Lepisosteus oculatus: one gene and its partner. The protein of the gene in region 2 interacts with the protein of the main gene of each other region in a biochemical or structural test. Links are inferred from orthologs where the notes say so. Each region holds a gene or a part of one and is shown on either strand. Other genes may lie near its edges. The genes, in order: itgb3a and tln1.

What was found.
Region 1: the proteins of tln1 (region 2) and itgb3a form a complex in vitro, tested with the Homo sapiens proteins (6 studies listed by BioGRID and IntAct, with this or other methods). The link is inferred for Lepisosteus oculatus from reciprocal best matches to the Homo sapiens genes TLN1 and ITGB3.

The regions. Positions count from the first base shown.
Region 1 is NC_090723.1:2,578,954-2,586,834, forward strand, and holds the start of itgb3a (integrin beta-3a), read right to left. Parts: upstream 3,730-7,881; 5' UTR 3,495-3,729; coding exon 3,416-3,494; intron 1-3,415. UniProt on the Homo sapiens protein: Integrin alpha-V/beta-3 (ITGAV:ITGB3) is a receptor for cytotactin, fibronectin, laminin, matrix metalloproteinase-2, osteopontin, osteomodulin, prothrombin, thrombospondin, vitronectin and von Willebrand factor.
Region 2 is NC_090698.1:26,146,322-26,154,290, reverse strand, and holds the start of tln1 (talin-1), read left to right. Parts: upstream 1-4,362; 5' UTR 4,363-4,514; intron 4,515-4,957; exon of another isoform or gene 4,958-5,138; intron 5,139-7,969. UniProt on the Homo sapiens protein: High molecular weight cytoskeletal protein concentrated at regions of cell-matrix and cell-cell contacts. Involved in connections of major cytoskeletal structures to the plasma membrane.

The DNA of each region.
Region 1 (7,881 bases), on a different chromosome or scaffold from region 2:
ACAGAGGAGGTATTTCAGAGGCCTAGCATCCTAATCACCCAGAAAACTCCAGACTGCTACTACTGTAAGTATTCAACTCTTGAATAATGCCCACAGAGGCTACAATGAGAGATAAGATGCCTTCTTAATAAATGCAATACAACCTGCAGTTAAACCTCTCTCTCTGCAAACAAAGATGCCACAGAATAAATGGTAGCCTACTTCCCTATTCTACAAATGCACCCTAAGAAGGAAAGATGTCTTTTACCCTGGAAACCCAAGTTCCCTAAAAACACAGAATAGCAAGCTCTCTCTACCAAGGTTCAAATACTAAGCTCCAGTCAGGTTTTGAGGTTTTGTTTGTACAGTATGATCATGTGGGGGCTCTCGCCTGGCACAAGTTTCAAGTTTCTGCTGGCTCCTTGTGGACTGACCTTCCTTTGCTCCCTGTCCTTTCTCCTTTTCTTGTTCTTTTCTTCATTCCCCTTCTGTGATCTTAATATGACCATAGGGTGTGTTACTGGACTGCTCAGTTACAATGATTAACCCACATTTTAATTACCTACAGTAGGTATACTGTACCAAGGAAACATTTTTTTTCTGATCAGGGGAACCCCCACATTTCAGCAAACATCTCCTCTGCTTTGAAGATAAAAGTGTTTACTCTGCCATGTGGCACACCTATAGCTGTAACAATACCAACAGGGTGTATGCGTCACTGTTCAGTACTGCATACTGTATGTTGTGTCAATACTTGTCAGTTCTGTTTGTGATCTGTTTTGTTTTTTTGCATCATTTATTTAATTCATTTTTCCATACTTGCTTGGAATCATGTTGTTTGTTTTCTTTGAACCAACACTTCATGTAAAAGTACATGAACACTTTAAGACAATGTATACACTGTAAGTACAGTATAAACACCCTGGATAAGGGTGTTTAATGAGCAAATAAATAATAAGTACACACAAGAACAAATGCCCTACCTACAAAAGACCTTAATTCACTCCATTAATCATGCTTTGAAGACTTTGTGCTTTAAAGACCTCTAAATCAATCTGTATCATAGCCCAGTAAGTCACTTTATTTTCTAATTCTAAATCATTGACAGACTACTGTACTAGTAGGGCAATAAACATTTACATCTATAATGCCACCTTGTTCTGTGTATTTCATATTGCAAAAGTGCCATCATACTTCAAAAGGGTCTCATCAAACTGATTTGCAATCGCAATCCCATGATTTACCACACTAAATGCTTATACTGGTAAACCTCCTAAAACTATATGTACACACTAATATCCCTTGTGTGGGTTGATATCCATAATACTCCAGTTCTGTATGTCTGAGTGAAAATGTGAATGGGTTAGTGTTTCCAAATGGCTTTACAATGATAGCCAATTTCTTGAAATGAAGGTTGAATCATACACTTCAGATTTTGCTGTCATCACCCAGCTGTGACTGGGATTCCCCAAGCAGTGCCACACAAATGGCTGAACTCCAAAAGGGCTGAGTGGGCGTAAGTGTCCTTTGATTAGCATCCAGTGGTGATCCCTGTCACTTGACTGGGATTATAAACTTCTAGTTTATCATAATTTAGAATACCCGTGTAGCAGAGCAAAGGCTGAAAAGGCGAATTCCCCAGGGGCGGGGTCATCCATTTAGGAGAACCACATTCTTCGGATTCTCACAGGGAAATCACTCAATTGGCTGCACCTGGTGACTTTAGCTCCCTATAAAAGCAGTTCCTAGGCCAGTCAGAGGTGTTTTTTTCTTTTCTCTCTCTCTCTCCCATGGGCCCTCATGAGTTAGTAAAGAGTCAGTTCAGAGATAACTGTTTTGATAAGAACTACAAGTCAGAGAGGACTTGTAATGGGTTAAAATGGGTAGCAGCCTCGGTCGTTTTCCGGGTCAGGACGCCGGTAAATAAGAAGACGGTTAATGAGCGTACCTGGCCAACCGGAATCGACCGAGGGGTTATTGCCTCTGTTATCCGGGAAACAAACAGTTAGATGGTTCATGTGAAGACCCCTTGCCACGCTATCTAAGATAGGAATCTTCCTCAACCTGATGATACAATTTATAATATAATGGTTTATATATGCAGCTACCAGTGAGAGCTATATCAGCCTTCCCTTCCCTTGCTAACTGGGGGCGTATAGGTCGTGAAAGAGGTAGCTCAATGGCATCTTTCTGAGAAGGGGTGGCACACTGTGCTAATACAGTACAAGGATCATAGTGGTTATCTGAGTTTATGGTCACAAGGTGATTCCAAATTGGGAGGTATAACAAGAAAACACTACAACTTAAACATAAAGACACTGCAACAGCGAATCTCTTGTACAGTAATTGTACTGAGCATCTGAAAGAGATAAAATGCACAAAAAGAACAAAGAATCCAAGTTTGATAAAGTATACAGTAATCATGTAATATATGGTATAACCCAGCAAAGAGGTTTTAACCAAAGTAACTGCCATATTGTCTCCTCTTTCTGCTCAAAGACAGAACAACAATGAACTGGGACAGAGCATCATTCTTTGACCTTTTATAAAAACTTTCAATAAACTGTCTTTTTGACCTGGAAAAAGATCTATTAATTGTAACAAATCAATACATCCTGTACTGTACAATATTCCAAATATATCATGCTCTCTTGGGTACTGATCTGCCCAACAATTATATCCATCAAGAGCTTTTTGAATTGCCAAAAAGTCAATAGCTTTTACTAAGCTGGCAATATAATCGTTTGTATGTTATTAAAAAAAAAACTATAGAAAGGGTGAAGAACAATTATTTTCTATTCCAAACAAAACCGAGCAGGCAAACCAATTTTATTTCGAGATTTTTAATCAATCTCGATTCTCGATCAAACATTATTCAGTGTGGACAGAGCATGTTAAAAACGTTAGGTGTGTCGGCACCGCGATGCAAACAAACCTGAGGCTCAAAAGGGAATTTTACATTTTTGAATATCAAGTCTCCTTACTTCAGACTGGTCCATTGTAATTTCCCTTTGAATGCTGATGATAGCAATAATTATCATTGATTTACCATTTTAATGGCCCCAAAACCAAACCAAGGCGCTCCACTTGATCAACCCCCTCCAATAACAGAACCTCAATAAAAACTACAAATGTATCATTCTAGCTTTCCAGTGGTAACATTTTTCTCAACACAAAAGAACCCCCTGCTCTTTTTAATATTTTTTTCGAAGCAGGACGTAAAAGAATATTCAAAAATGAAAACTCAGAATGTGGGAGGAAAAGGATGCAAGTGAATATTCATTAATCTAAAAAAAAACAACAACTGACATCACATGCATACTTGAGGAATGTTAGTTTGTCGAAATACAAATGCACACATCGACAGGGGAAGGTAAACTAAAGTGTATAGCTTTGCACCAAAAAAGCTAAAGTTAGCTAAAGTTGTTAAACTTACCCCAAACTTCAAAAGACATAAAAAAGAGTAAGGATAATGTCCAAAAAGTCTTCCTAAATCGCTCTGAGAATTTCCCCATTTTTAAAGTGAGTCTGCGCGTCTCTGTGAGAAGAGTCGGGTTTACTCCAGGACTTTAAATGACGCTCTCTTCCTCAGTAGGTCCAGGACGGAGAAGTGAATCATAACTTGTACAAGATTCGAAGTTTTAGTCTTTCCGGTGAGCTAATAAGCGGCTTAGTCAGGCACGAGTCAGGGCACAAAAGGGGCTGTACCGGCTGTCTGGGAGCAACACCACACTGGCTCTGATCAGATAATCCTGAATTGGTACCTTAATAGCAGCAACCTATAACGTCCCACAAAAATAGCGGCGCGTTTCTAATAGCGCTTTTGTACTGTATGTACTGTGCAAATTAAGCAACTGGAGTTGCAATAGGTAACATATATATTCTAAATCCATATTACTTTACAAAACGAATATATGTTCATGGTGTATTTATATTTAAGAGTTCAGATTTTTGTCTTGATAATACATTGAATTAAGTCAGTCATTCATATCTGACCTTAGAAAGATCAATACATTTGAGTGTGCTACTTTGCGTTCGCAAACGTTTATCTACAAATGCTCACACGCTGTTCTGTTTGAAGAGCAATTGACCAAAATGCCGCTTTTACCCTTGCCTTTGCTCTGCTGCCCTTTAGCGGCCAAAATGAAGTACATCACCAGCCCAGCTAACAGAACCGACGACTTTCCAGCCTATGAACCTTAACTCACGCATAATGAATGATCTGCTAACTTACAATGTGGTCATATTAATATTCTAATTAAAGCTACACAAAACATTTCCTTTGCATTTAGTTAGCACAATAGAAACACATACTGTATGGGAATTAATGCTGTATATACTGTACATGAACTCTTACTGAAGGTATCCAAACACTAGATTAAAGTGATTAAAGTAATAAGATATTACTGGTTCTATCAGAATACATATAGTATATCGTGTACTGTGAGCGATCCATGTGCCACCAGTGACCAGCTTAGCTTTGCAAAATTTCAGACTTTTATCGTTCACCTAAGAAGTGTGACTGTAACCCAGGACCGAATGTGCCAGTGGAAACAAGAGCTATCTCAATGAAAAGTAACTGGCAGTTTTCTGTATGACCGAGATCAATGCACATCTCCATAAGCGCTGCTACGAAATTGACTCCAATATGGAAGTCTAACCACTACAGCCTCCCTATGATCTTTGGCGTATTCCTCTTCTTATTGAATTATTCTCCATTCCCTTTTCTATTTTCTGCCCTGCGGTTGCTAAGTTACAGTCACGAATGTGCTGGAATCACATTGCAATCCGGTACCCAAAGCCCTTACAATTCTGATTGCACCTTAAGCATTAATGTTTCTCTCATTTCCAGTTTCTCTTTTCCCCTCACAAACTAATCAAATTTGATAGGTGCTGGACTTCGAAGTGCTTTGCAGAGCGTATTAGACACCTGAGTGAATTATTAAGATTTTTGCTAGAAAACCAGAGCCCTCGTCTTTAATTTCTGCTTCGTGTGCCAATGGGAAACAGTGTCACTAATGTCCATCTAGGTGAACAAATTGCAATGCATGGGATAACATTTTTGTTTAGTGTTTTAAACAGTGCCACATTAAAAAAGTTCTAGTTTCAGATATGCAAAATACTTGGGTTTTACAAATAATTATTCCATCCCTCTTTAATCTTCGCAAGATTCATCTACATTATTCTGAAGATCATTCTAGTATCTGTGTCCAAGGCTGGGTGGACACAATCAAAAATCAAAAATGGGTTTAACTTTGAGAAATTAATACATATTTGTATTTTATGCAACAATTCATACACCAGAAAACATTTTTCTTACATGTGTATGCAACTGTTTGTCCTTGTTTCAAAAGCTCATACAGTAACTGCAGAAGATTCAATCCATCTTCCACTCATGAATACTGATCTGGTTAAAAATAAAGCCAAACGGATATTAATTAATTAGATCAATTAGGCCAATGTGCATTACCCTGTTATTCATTATTTAATATGGCTTGGTTCTTAATCTAAATGAACAATGTTTATAAATACAAATTGTGTATCACTTGCATTTTGTTTTCACTGTAACCTACTGTATCTATGTTAGGTCCAGACAGGCTCCATGTGTAAAACTTACAGAACTAGGATTATGTAGATAACTAATGTTTTTGAATCATTCTTTATCACAAGGATTCAAATCCTTATACAAGAGGCCAAGTTCACCAACAGTCTCTAGGTTCACACACTCCCCTGCACAAAACAATTGGCTAATCTTTTTCAGTTCCATTCATTCTTTGAATTAACACATGCCTGCCTTTCAAACCTCCCCTTGGATTTTGCCTTACTGCCCCAAGCAATAAATTGCTGCCCTTTTCACCTTCGATTTCTTTTTCCGTCAGACCTGTATCCCTTCAGTTCCTGCCCCGTCACTTTCAACCTTCACTCACCTGATAACAACATTGTGAATTTTACTCTTTATCTGACTGCATGGAATTAACCTCTGCTGGTTCCTTAACTGTACTGTAAGGTACTGCTACAGTATACCTGTATACCTGTATGTCAAATGAAAATGGCTCCATCAGGTGGAAGAGTTGGAGAGGAAGTATGTAGATCTTCCTTTTTGACGGTTGAATTATCTTAATTAGCAAATAAATGGTCACTAGCAACTAGAAACTAGCAAAAACATAGAGATAGCATGAAAGTACATTTCTGGTGACTAAAGAAGACCAGCAAAAAGTTAGGGCCAAGATATGGTCAACTAGGACAATGAATACAATAGCAGTGATTTAACTTGGCTTAAACACATTGATATCAGAGGAAGACAAGAACACATGGCTTGTGTGTGCTTTATAAAATTCAATAAAGCATTTCAAGGGAACATTTACTACCTGCAGAGCACATTGCACTCCTGAAATTTGTTTTCTTTGAGCCCACAGATTAGCTTCTCAGCAAAAGAACTGGAAAACTGTTAAGTGTCACACACTCCTCAATGAGCCATAGAAAATGCCATTGTCTTTCTGACGCTCTTCATTAAAACCTATCTAATACAGTATATTAGCTCATTCATGTCCTTTTAATTTCTTTATCCTCAGGTGTAGTTCTCAGGGATGTCATTTTCTGTGAAAGGATGAGGAGATAAAACAAAGTGATATCCCACCCATAATATATTTTCCATTCATAAGAACACAAGAAAGTTTAGAAGTAAGAGTAGGTCATTCAGTCTATTTAGCTAATTTGTTTGCTAGTATCAAATTGATCTATGGATATCATCTGGTCTCATTTTAAAATAAACCAGGTCAAATTCAGCTCTAATTTAGCTGGGCAGCTAGTTCCATGTCTCCACAACCGTTTACATAAGGAAGGGACTCTATTCTCAGTTTGAAATGTCCATTTATGGTCTGGATTTTGCTTTTAATTATGAAGTACATTACTGTATGTAACAGTTAAGACTGTTATTGCCTTTGAACACTTTAAATATTTGAATAACTTTCCCATTGTTCCAAGAAGAAAAAACTGTTTTTTAAAGCCTGTCTATGCACGACGTTCCTTTAAGACTGAAAAGAAATGAATCTTTTGTGGGGTTTTTTTCCAGAACCCACATTATTTTCTGTGACATGATGTGTGCCCTATTCTTTATCTGAAGCCAATAAAAATGATACAAATAACTGCACTTCTTAATTTGAAGGCTATTTAAACCTTGCCTGGTCTGTGTATGAAACAATCTATTTTGATCTTATCTCCAGAAAATGTTACTGGCCTGGATCTATTCATGAATATTGCAGTGAAACCAATGGCTTCAGTGGGTTTATTAGGATGCTTCAGGCAAGGCTAGAATGCATGCTTGATCAAACTGGGCAAAGGGCTTAATATTATTTGATTTTTATTGTAAAAAGAAACTCTATGGTTCTTGAATGTTTTATCACACTACTGTATATAACAATGTTTTTAATCTGATGTGCCACAGCATTTCTTAACCAGGATATATATTGCTCTTTATATTTCTAAATCTCTTAATTTACATTCCTTTTGTGTTGAAATGCAATTTTGTATCTAAATTTGTCTCAATGAATTTTTGTTTTCTTCACTTTTTCTGAACATGGAACGATGCAGAAAGAGAAGTGAGAATCAGTGTGCATTTTGTGCTCCGAATGATCTTTCTAACCTTTTCAAAAATCATTTCAGGGATTCTAAAATGATACACTGCTTTGTTTGGAGAGTGGTGTAGTTTGTGGGTTTTTTAAATCAAAATGTAAAATCATATCCACCTCTTAAGTTTTTTTTAATGTAATCTTCTACAGGTGTAAGTGTACATTTTATGAGTAGCCATTCACTCAGTGAAACAGTATTAAACTCCTAATCTCTAAAGTTTAGTTGTGCAAGTGCTAACAGTATTCCAACTTCAATTCATATCTTTTAATTATA
Region 2 (7,969 bases):
AATTGCATTGCATCCATTAAAGATCTACTGTATAAAGATACCCAAAAACCAAATAAAAGAACTTGGCATTATTAGGGTATTCATGTTAGGATGAAGGTGTCATTTCACCTTCCTGCTGGCTGTGCAAAAAGGATGCAAAGCTTTCATTTTTCAACTAAGACTATGGGTTCAGGCTGAAGCCAAAGCTGTTACTGCTTCTGTGTTTTGGGTCTTTAAAGTCACAGAGATGAGTATTGTAATATTAAAAGGGAATTGGCACATTTTGGAACTTTTCTGACAAAGTACCTATGAAATTGTTTGAAAGACTTCTTCAATAAAATAATGATTGATAGTAAATTAATTTTAGATGAATTTGGATGAATAATATTTTTCTATATTTAAAGTGTTTCTGATTGTTCGAAATACATTGAACTAACAAAATATGGAGTTTGGGGAATAGACGATTAAATATCAATTTTCTTTATTATAGACTAATTCCAAATTATTCCTGCAATAAACAGGAACAAACAAAAGTGCAAAAACTAAAAATACAATGGAAAAACTAACAGGCAGGGTTAATAGCAAGAAACTAGACTGTCATCGTCTCATTACAAATGGTTCACATTTCTGTAAACCTTACCGTAAGCGTGTAAGAAATGTATAATAATAATTAAGTGTTTTCTTTTTTTAATTTTGTAGCCAAGAACTTTTGTTTCTATAGTTATTCTGATGAGGCTGTTTACAGTTTAAGATTTTTTGTGTGTAATGTACAGTTATCACTGTAACTAACTGTAATTTATATATATAGAATCAATTGCTTTCTAATTAACTGTCCTGTTCTTGTCAAAAATCTATGTATAAAGTGATCTCTGGTGATAGGACTTCTGTATGTACAACAGAATGAATATTTGAAAAAAAATTGAAAGCAAATAAACTCTGTTAGCTTATTTGTGCTTGTGTTTCGTTTGCTTTAAGATGGTGTAAAAAGGAACGATGGGAATTACAGAAGACATCTTCATGCTAGTCAATTACAAACTGTTGTAACTTTTTTAAAAAGGGTGCTCATAATATTTTCAGAACTACAGCTTCAACGTCGAAGGCATACTTAATTGGCATTTTAATCTTTCAACTTAAAGAATTGAACAGGACTAGGTATTGTAATTCAACATTAAGATGCAAAATAATGTTTTTGTAAAAATAAGTAAGTCAATTTTTGATATCCTCTTTTTAAAAAAAATGACAGCTTCTATAAAGATTTATCTTTTAAGAAGCGTAATTACTGTGTAATGACTGTATGCCTTTTTTAGCACTTATACTTCAGAACATTTCTGAAGATGAATCTTCAACATTAAGATGTTATGTCAACAAACGAGTGGTTCCTCACGTACAGTAGATGCCTTGCCTCTTTTGTATAACTTACTAATCATTTTGATGCAATAGTTGATTTAGAAAAAACAATTTAAAAAACATGAAAAAAGGGGAGTAATTGAATAAATTTTCAAGGTGATGAAAAGTATCAGATCAGACTGTCACAGTTTTTGTAGCAGCAAACAATCAAGTCTTTCTACAAGAATAATGTCTGAAAATGAATGTATCCAAGTCCAGTTTAAGGGTATCCAAGACACCACCAAACCTGGTCAAAATTTCTGGCAGCTGTGAGATGAAAGTGCTTTTTGACACGACTGGTGTGGCTGTGCCACCAAGCACTCAACTGCGAATAACAGTGGTTGTGGCCGAAATTTGATAGTAATGTGCAAGTCCTCACTGAGCCTGAGCAGGTGAGAGCTTAGTGGCACAGCTACACAGGTCCTGCCTTAAAGTTCTTTTCCTCAGGAACAACTGAAAGTGCCCTGTTACAGGACACTCCCAAAACTTAGGGCACCTCATAGAACCTTGCTGCCTCTTGGACAGATGGTCAGGAGAAGTCATCTTCTGGAGCTGCTGATGTGCTGTTTTATACATTTTATGGGAAATTACAGGACATACAGGTATTAGCTGGTGTGCTAAATATTTACAGGAGAGGAATTTATTGTGCCATATGGCATCCCACTCTGCATTCTGACCCAATCCTTGCGTTTCCAAAACCCGATGCCTTCTGGTGTATCCTTCAGCTGCCGGTTCGGGAATCGCGGTCTAATTCATTTTAATTTTCTACTCTGGCCATCGTTGCAAATTTGATTTCAACTCTTGAAACACTGAATTGGATTTGTCATTGGTACGGACCCTGTATTAATCTGTGAATATCAGAACTCCATTCAGGTGTTCTGTCTCAAATCTGAACAATTAGGAAAAAAAACACTTATTGAGGAAATGTTTTATAGACTTGTCTTTTCATCATACATTGATCGCCTGTTAATAGCTGTTTAGTCAGAAATAAGAGTAAACACGTTGGGTTGAAGAGATACTGCTTTTAAACCAGGAGCCTAAACAACCATTATGTTATATAACCAGGGCGCCTCTCTCATTATAAAAATACATTTTCAATGTATTTTATTGTAAGCTTTCACTACAACACAATCCAGGTAATCTTGTTTATCTGTCTGAAAATGTGATAGTGTTGAAGGGCAGTCTTCAGTTTATCAGTTTATGATGTTAAACTTAATTAATTCAGTACCAGTCATCTTGAAGCAACTAAGTCTTAACCAGAAGTACACTATAGTTAAAGCTCACAACCACTGTGTTGCAGCTGACACATCCTAAGCAATTGATGTTTTATTTCAAGAGCATTTGCAGTGCAGTCACTAATGGCCTTGGCAGCAACTGTATTGTTGGGTTGAATTCTGAGGTGGGAAATTATATAAAATGAAAATACAGATTGCTTTGGAAATGTCTGGAAAACCAAAATAGTATTTCATTTTATTCCTAATATGCCTTACGAAACCTAGTTGCACTGGATGGCCTCTAGGTGGGACTGTAGTGCTTACTGCAACAGAAACTAGCCTTGTAAACACTTCAAACACTACTTAAAAGGCAAGGAGAACTTAAAACTATAACAAATCAGAACTGAATCATTGAAATGTTTCAAATTTAATTACAATTTAAAATAGTATTAAATAAGGGTATAAGGATTTTGATTTAACTGTCTCTTGTTTGTAAATGCTTTCTAGATAATGAGCAGTAGCATGCAAATTTATTTCAACACAAACGTCTGTAGCTTTTATTGGTTGATATGGAAACATATCACTATCACCAACACTTTCAATATGTCAATATCCAATTCAGAGTCACAGTGGCCCAGAGTCTATCCCAGGAAGCACTGGGTGAATGGTAGGACACACACTCACACCAAGGACAAGTTTTCAAGAAGCCAATTACCCTACTAACAAGTACTGTATTTGGAGTGTGGGAGGAAACCTGGAGAAAACCCACACAAGCACAGGGAGAACGTGCAAACTCCTCACAGACAGCACACCAGGAATTGAACCCAGGTCCCCCAGCACTGCCCCAGCAAGGCAGCAATTCTCACCAGTATGCCACTGTGCCGCTTAAAGCCAAATTTCAGTAAAATAAATCTTTTACAATATTAATGAATATGCATATTCCAGTATATTTTTGTTTACATCAATTTCAATATCTGCATTTCATATGAAGAATGCAGTAGTGTATTTCTTAGTGTGTACATATGTATTTCATAACTCAATACTGGAGAGATTCAAACTGTTCGCCACTCCAAGCAAAGCCAGTCTTTAACTGTCATGAGCAACTGAAGTGCAGCTACACTCTTGCTTCTGGAACGCTTGTGATTTTTTTCTGTTTAGTCCAAGTTTATACTATTCTCAGACGCTGGCCTTGTATGGAGTTGATGGCATCCAGAACAGAGATACATACCTAATACAGGGATCTGAACTTGGACCACTGCTCTTGCTAATTCATATCCATGATCCCGATTCCGGTGCAGTTAGTAAACTAGGGTGGTTTTCAGATCATAGCAAAATCCACCACCAACCTGTTAAACCAAGCAAAACCACTCCCTGTCCGAGGGAAGATCAGAAACAAAGATCTTAACCGCACAACGTTAGGACGTTGTTGACAATTGTGGTCTCAAAATTAATAGTCTTGGGTATATGTTAAAACAAAACATTCCCATTTTGAGGTAAATTCCCAGGTGTGAGTTTACCAAGCATTAATGAAGTTGTAGCTGTCATTCTGCCATTGTTTCTTTAGAAGAAACCCATTCTTTCATGGGTTAACAAAATGTCGAGGCTCGGTCTTGCAGGTCTCCCTGAAAAGCAACTGTATCATTTTCTGGACAGATCTGTAGAGCAGTGAAGCGCAGGAGAAGCATGGTCTCCCCTTGTCCCCTTTAACCGCCCCTCCGCTTGCATCACGACGTCGTGTGCACATCTTAGGGCTGTGTCTGTGCTGGGTGGAGTTTGTATACTGCTGCTGAACTCAGCAGGGAGGGAGCTGAAAAATCACAATCTGACATTTACCAGCAGTTGGAACATCTCGGAGGGCTGGGGGAGAAAAGGGATATTTATTCTGTTTGGAGCAATAAAAGTGGAAACGTGACCAGGGAGAACAAATCACAAGAGGTGAGTACAAATCCTATTTGCTCATGTAAATGCAAAGTTGGGCTAAAGGTTAAAAGTTTTGTACTGCCTTTTTTGAATGTGAAGTCTCTTCCGATGTCAAAAGGACAACTTGCTTTGCTGTAAAACTGCCCTGTAGGGCTAGTTTTTTTGCCAGGATATGTGGCCGGATATTTTAAAACTTCTTTATATACTTTAGTATAGAAGCATTTCCAAAACTTCCCTAAACAAATCGCAGTAGTTTGGAAAACGCTCAGAATACAAGTTGAGTTTCGTTTTTATTCTAAATCTGAAATGAATAACTCGTAAGGACTGAAGGGAGCAGTGCAAGCAGGCAGGAAAAGCAACGAAAGCTTCTCATTGGCTGAATAGCAGACAACTTGTCGGATTTGTGTTATAAACCTTTCTTCTGGCGTTTATCGAGGGCTTCGTGGGTAAATAAGGCTTTGGAGAAGAAGCTGGATATTTATGTTGCTGTAGGGCACGTAAAAAGGAAACAGCCCATCTAGAAAAGAGAAGTAAACCCAGAAGGAGGAAGAGAAGACGTGTTTGTAGGCTCCTTACGTGGGACCCTTCGGGTTTTCGTGTTACACAACTGCATAATGATTAAAACATTTGTGTTTTTAGGTGAGTGAGAAATACAAATCTTTGCATACCTTTGCAATAATAGCTACGTAGGTGTGTAAAGTCGGAGGCCTAGGTTTAATCACACCTTCTTAAGGAGTTTTACGTTGTTGCTGATCGGTCGGAGCATTGATTGGAGACAGTGTAACTACCTTAAGCGAAGGCAGGGGTGGTGGCTCGTTTTGTAAATAGGATTTAACATAATAAGTTATTTTATGAGAACAGAGTTTTGGTGTAGATATCCTGTTTGTTACTACTTTATATAACAAGGAAAAGGTAACATTGTCTCTTAGGAGGGAGTGAGTAGCCAAAGTACTGTACTGTAGGTCAGAAATCGAAACAGAGTTATAGGATCACTACTGAAAATCTGATAAGCTACAGTAATTCACAATAAAGGGGAAGTTAGAACTTTTCAAATTATTCTGTTTTAGAAAGTTAAAATTGAGAATGAATTAACACTGTAACTATAAAGATTCGTGTATTTTATAGCTTAAAACTATTTTATCCATTATGTTTTTCCTCCATTTCGTCGACAAAATGTGGGCTTTTTGAAATCCGCTTTAACAACAATAATCCCCAATAGCATTTTCAACCTGAATAATTATTAGTATGTTAATTATATTAAATCAAACCTTTCAGTCAGTAAAACGATAATATATTTTTGTATGCTTTGTATATCTGAAAGGTATGCCTTACTTAAACAAATGCACTTACAGTACATGTTTTTTTTATAAGACTTGATTGAGAACTAGCTGAAAAGAAAGGTACTATCACATGTTATGCATCTATATGTATGAAACATACTGTACATATAGTCTATATATACAACTATAAAATAGATAACACACTTATATAGCGCTTTTCTGGACACTCCACAGAAAGCGCTTTACAGGTAATGGGGACTCCCCTACACCACCACCAATGATGTGTAGTTTTGTGTTTTTTCTTTGCACCACAAACGTTTATCATCTAAATACCATTAACCTCCGTAACAATAGTAACGTCGTAAACCTATGCAACTGTCTCAATCTAAGCAGGGTGCTGTTTCCTATTTTCATTCACTCCTGACTCTTTCATAGAACATGTACTGTATTTGCAAGTCATTCTTTCCTCTGGTTTCTGTCATTCTCATCCAATGAAATCGCAATGGAGTTAAGATCGGAAGCCCTGAGTTTTAAATGGTTTTGTTCTGATTTAGAAAAATGCTATTGTGAGTTATTTTCTTATTATATAAATTCTGTCTTTAGTGTCTTGGCTTGCTCGGCTCAATAACTCCTTTGCAGTTGCACAAGATTGAAGAGGGACAGATGGGCCCCTCTGATCTGCTTCCCCAATTATCTGGTCTTCTTTCGGCACATGACAAGCTCCACAGGGATGTACCTGAGGTTAACAGCAATTGGAGGAGAGGCACGTCACTTAGTGAAGTCACTGATGAAACTGCAGTCCCCAGGCCCACTCATCCCAACCCTGTCCTTTTTAGAGTCTCGTAGCTTGAAGAATCTCCAGTCAGAGTAGAGCTTAGTGACATGGCCTAAACTCAGACTCATGTCTGGATCATAGAGCACCAGCTTCACACAGAGCCAGTATCTTTACCAATGGAGCCATCTGCAGGCTCCTGAACCTTTTGTTATTTTTTAATTTAGGTTTTGTGTAGCCATGTGTTTAAAATTTGTAGAGACAATTGGGTTTTATTTGCCTAGTTCTGTATAAGAAGTATATGTAATGTGCTTACAAGCACTACACTAAAACTCTTCACCTTAATTAGACCTAATCTTAGTTGAAGCTATTGCACAGCATTAGAGAATGCATTGATACTGACACATCCTCATTGTGTTCTGATTGCAACTCTTGATTCTGTGCTGACAAAACCTCAGACCTTCTTAGCGCCATCTCTGTGTCTCTCTGCAGGTACTGCACAGCATTTGTTTTGTTTTATCTGTAACATACTGTTTCCTTTTGGAGCTCTGGCTAGCAGACATTACTTCATTTGTCCAAACCCGTGACCTCCTTTGCTCTGGTGACTGATCTAATGGGTTTAGTCCTCATTTAATCATTAAATATATTGTTCGTGTACAAGTGCAGATTTTCCCTCCTCGTCAAGATGGTTTCTCAAGCACTTCTTCTCACGGTTTCCTTTGATATGGTGCGTTTTGACTTGGACTTGAAGTCAGCTGTATGTCGAGTTCTGTGCAGGTTAAGAAAAGGAGTTAGAGACATTGTAAAAGTCTGTATTCTCTTTTAGTTGTTTTAATCTCTTCATAGTTACCACTAAAGTTTGCATAGTTTTTTTCTCAGTCTATTTCAGCCTATATTCTCTGTAAAAAGCTTTGACCATCTTGTGTGTCTCTTCTTCATTAAAATTCTTTCATAAAAGTCTTTCTTCATTACTCTTCACTCCTGTTTCACACTTTCCTAGTCCCATAACTGAGAAGCTGGTTTCAAATGCCTTTCCTTTCTCAACTTGTACTGAAAACTGCATGTACGTTTGCATCTGAGAGAGAAAAAAAGCCCATTCAAGAGGATAATGGTTTTAAACCAATATAACACATCCACAAGTCTACCATGTTACGAAGTGGATATGTTTTTTTTACATAAGCTACTAATTTCTCTTAATTTTCCTTGCTTAGTTCGATTTGGATAAGATGTTCAGATAGTCCACTAAATCTGATAGTCATTGTGTGTGGGTACATACACACATGTATGCTGCATTGTGGAGAAATGCAAGTTTCTCTAATGCAAGAATTGTTGCCTCTAGAGATAAAGATTATGGGAGCAGGTTTCAGCATGACAGAAGTGTGCCCTGCTCCTCACTGATAGGCTGCTTTTTAATAATC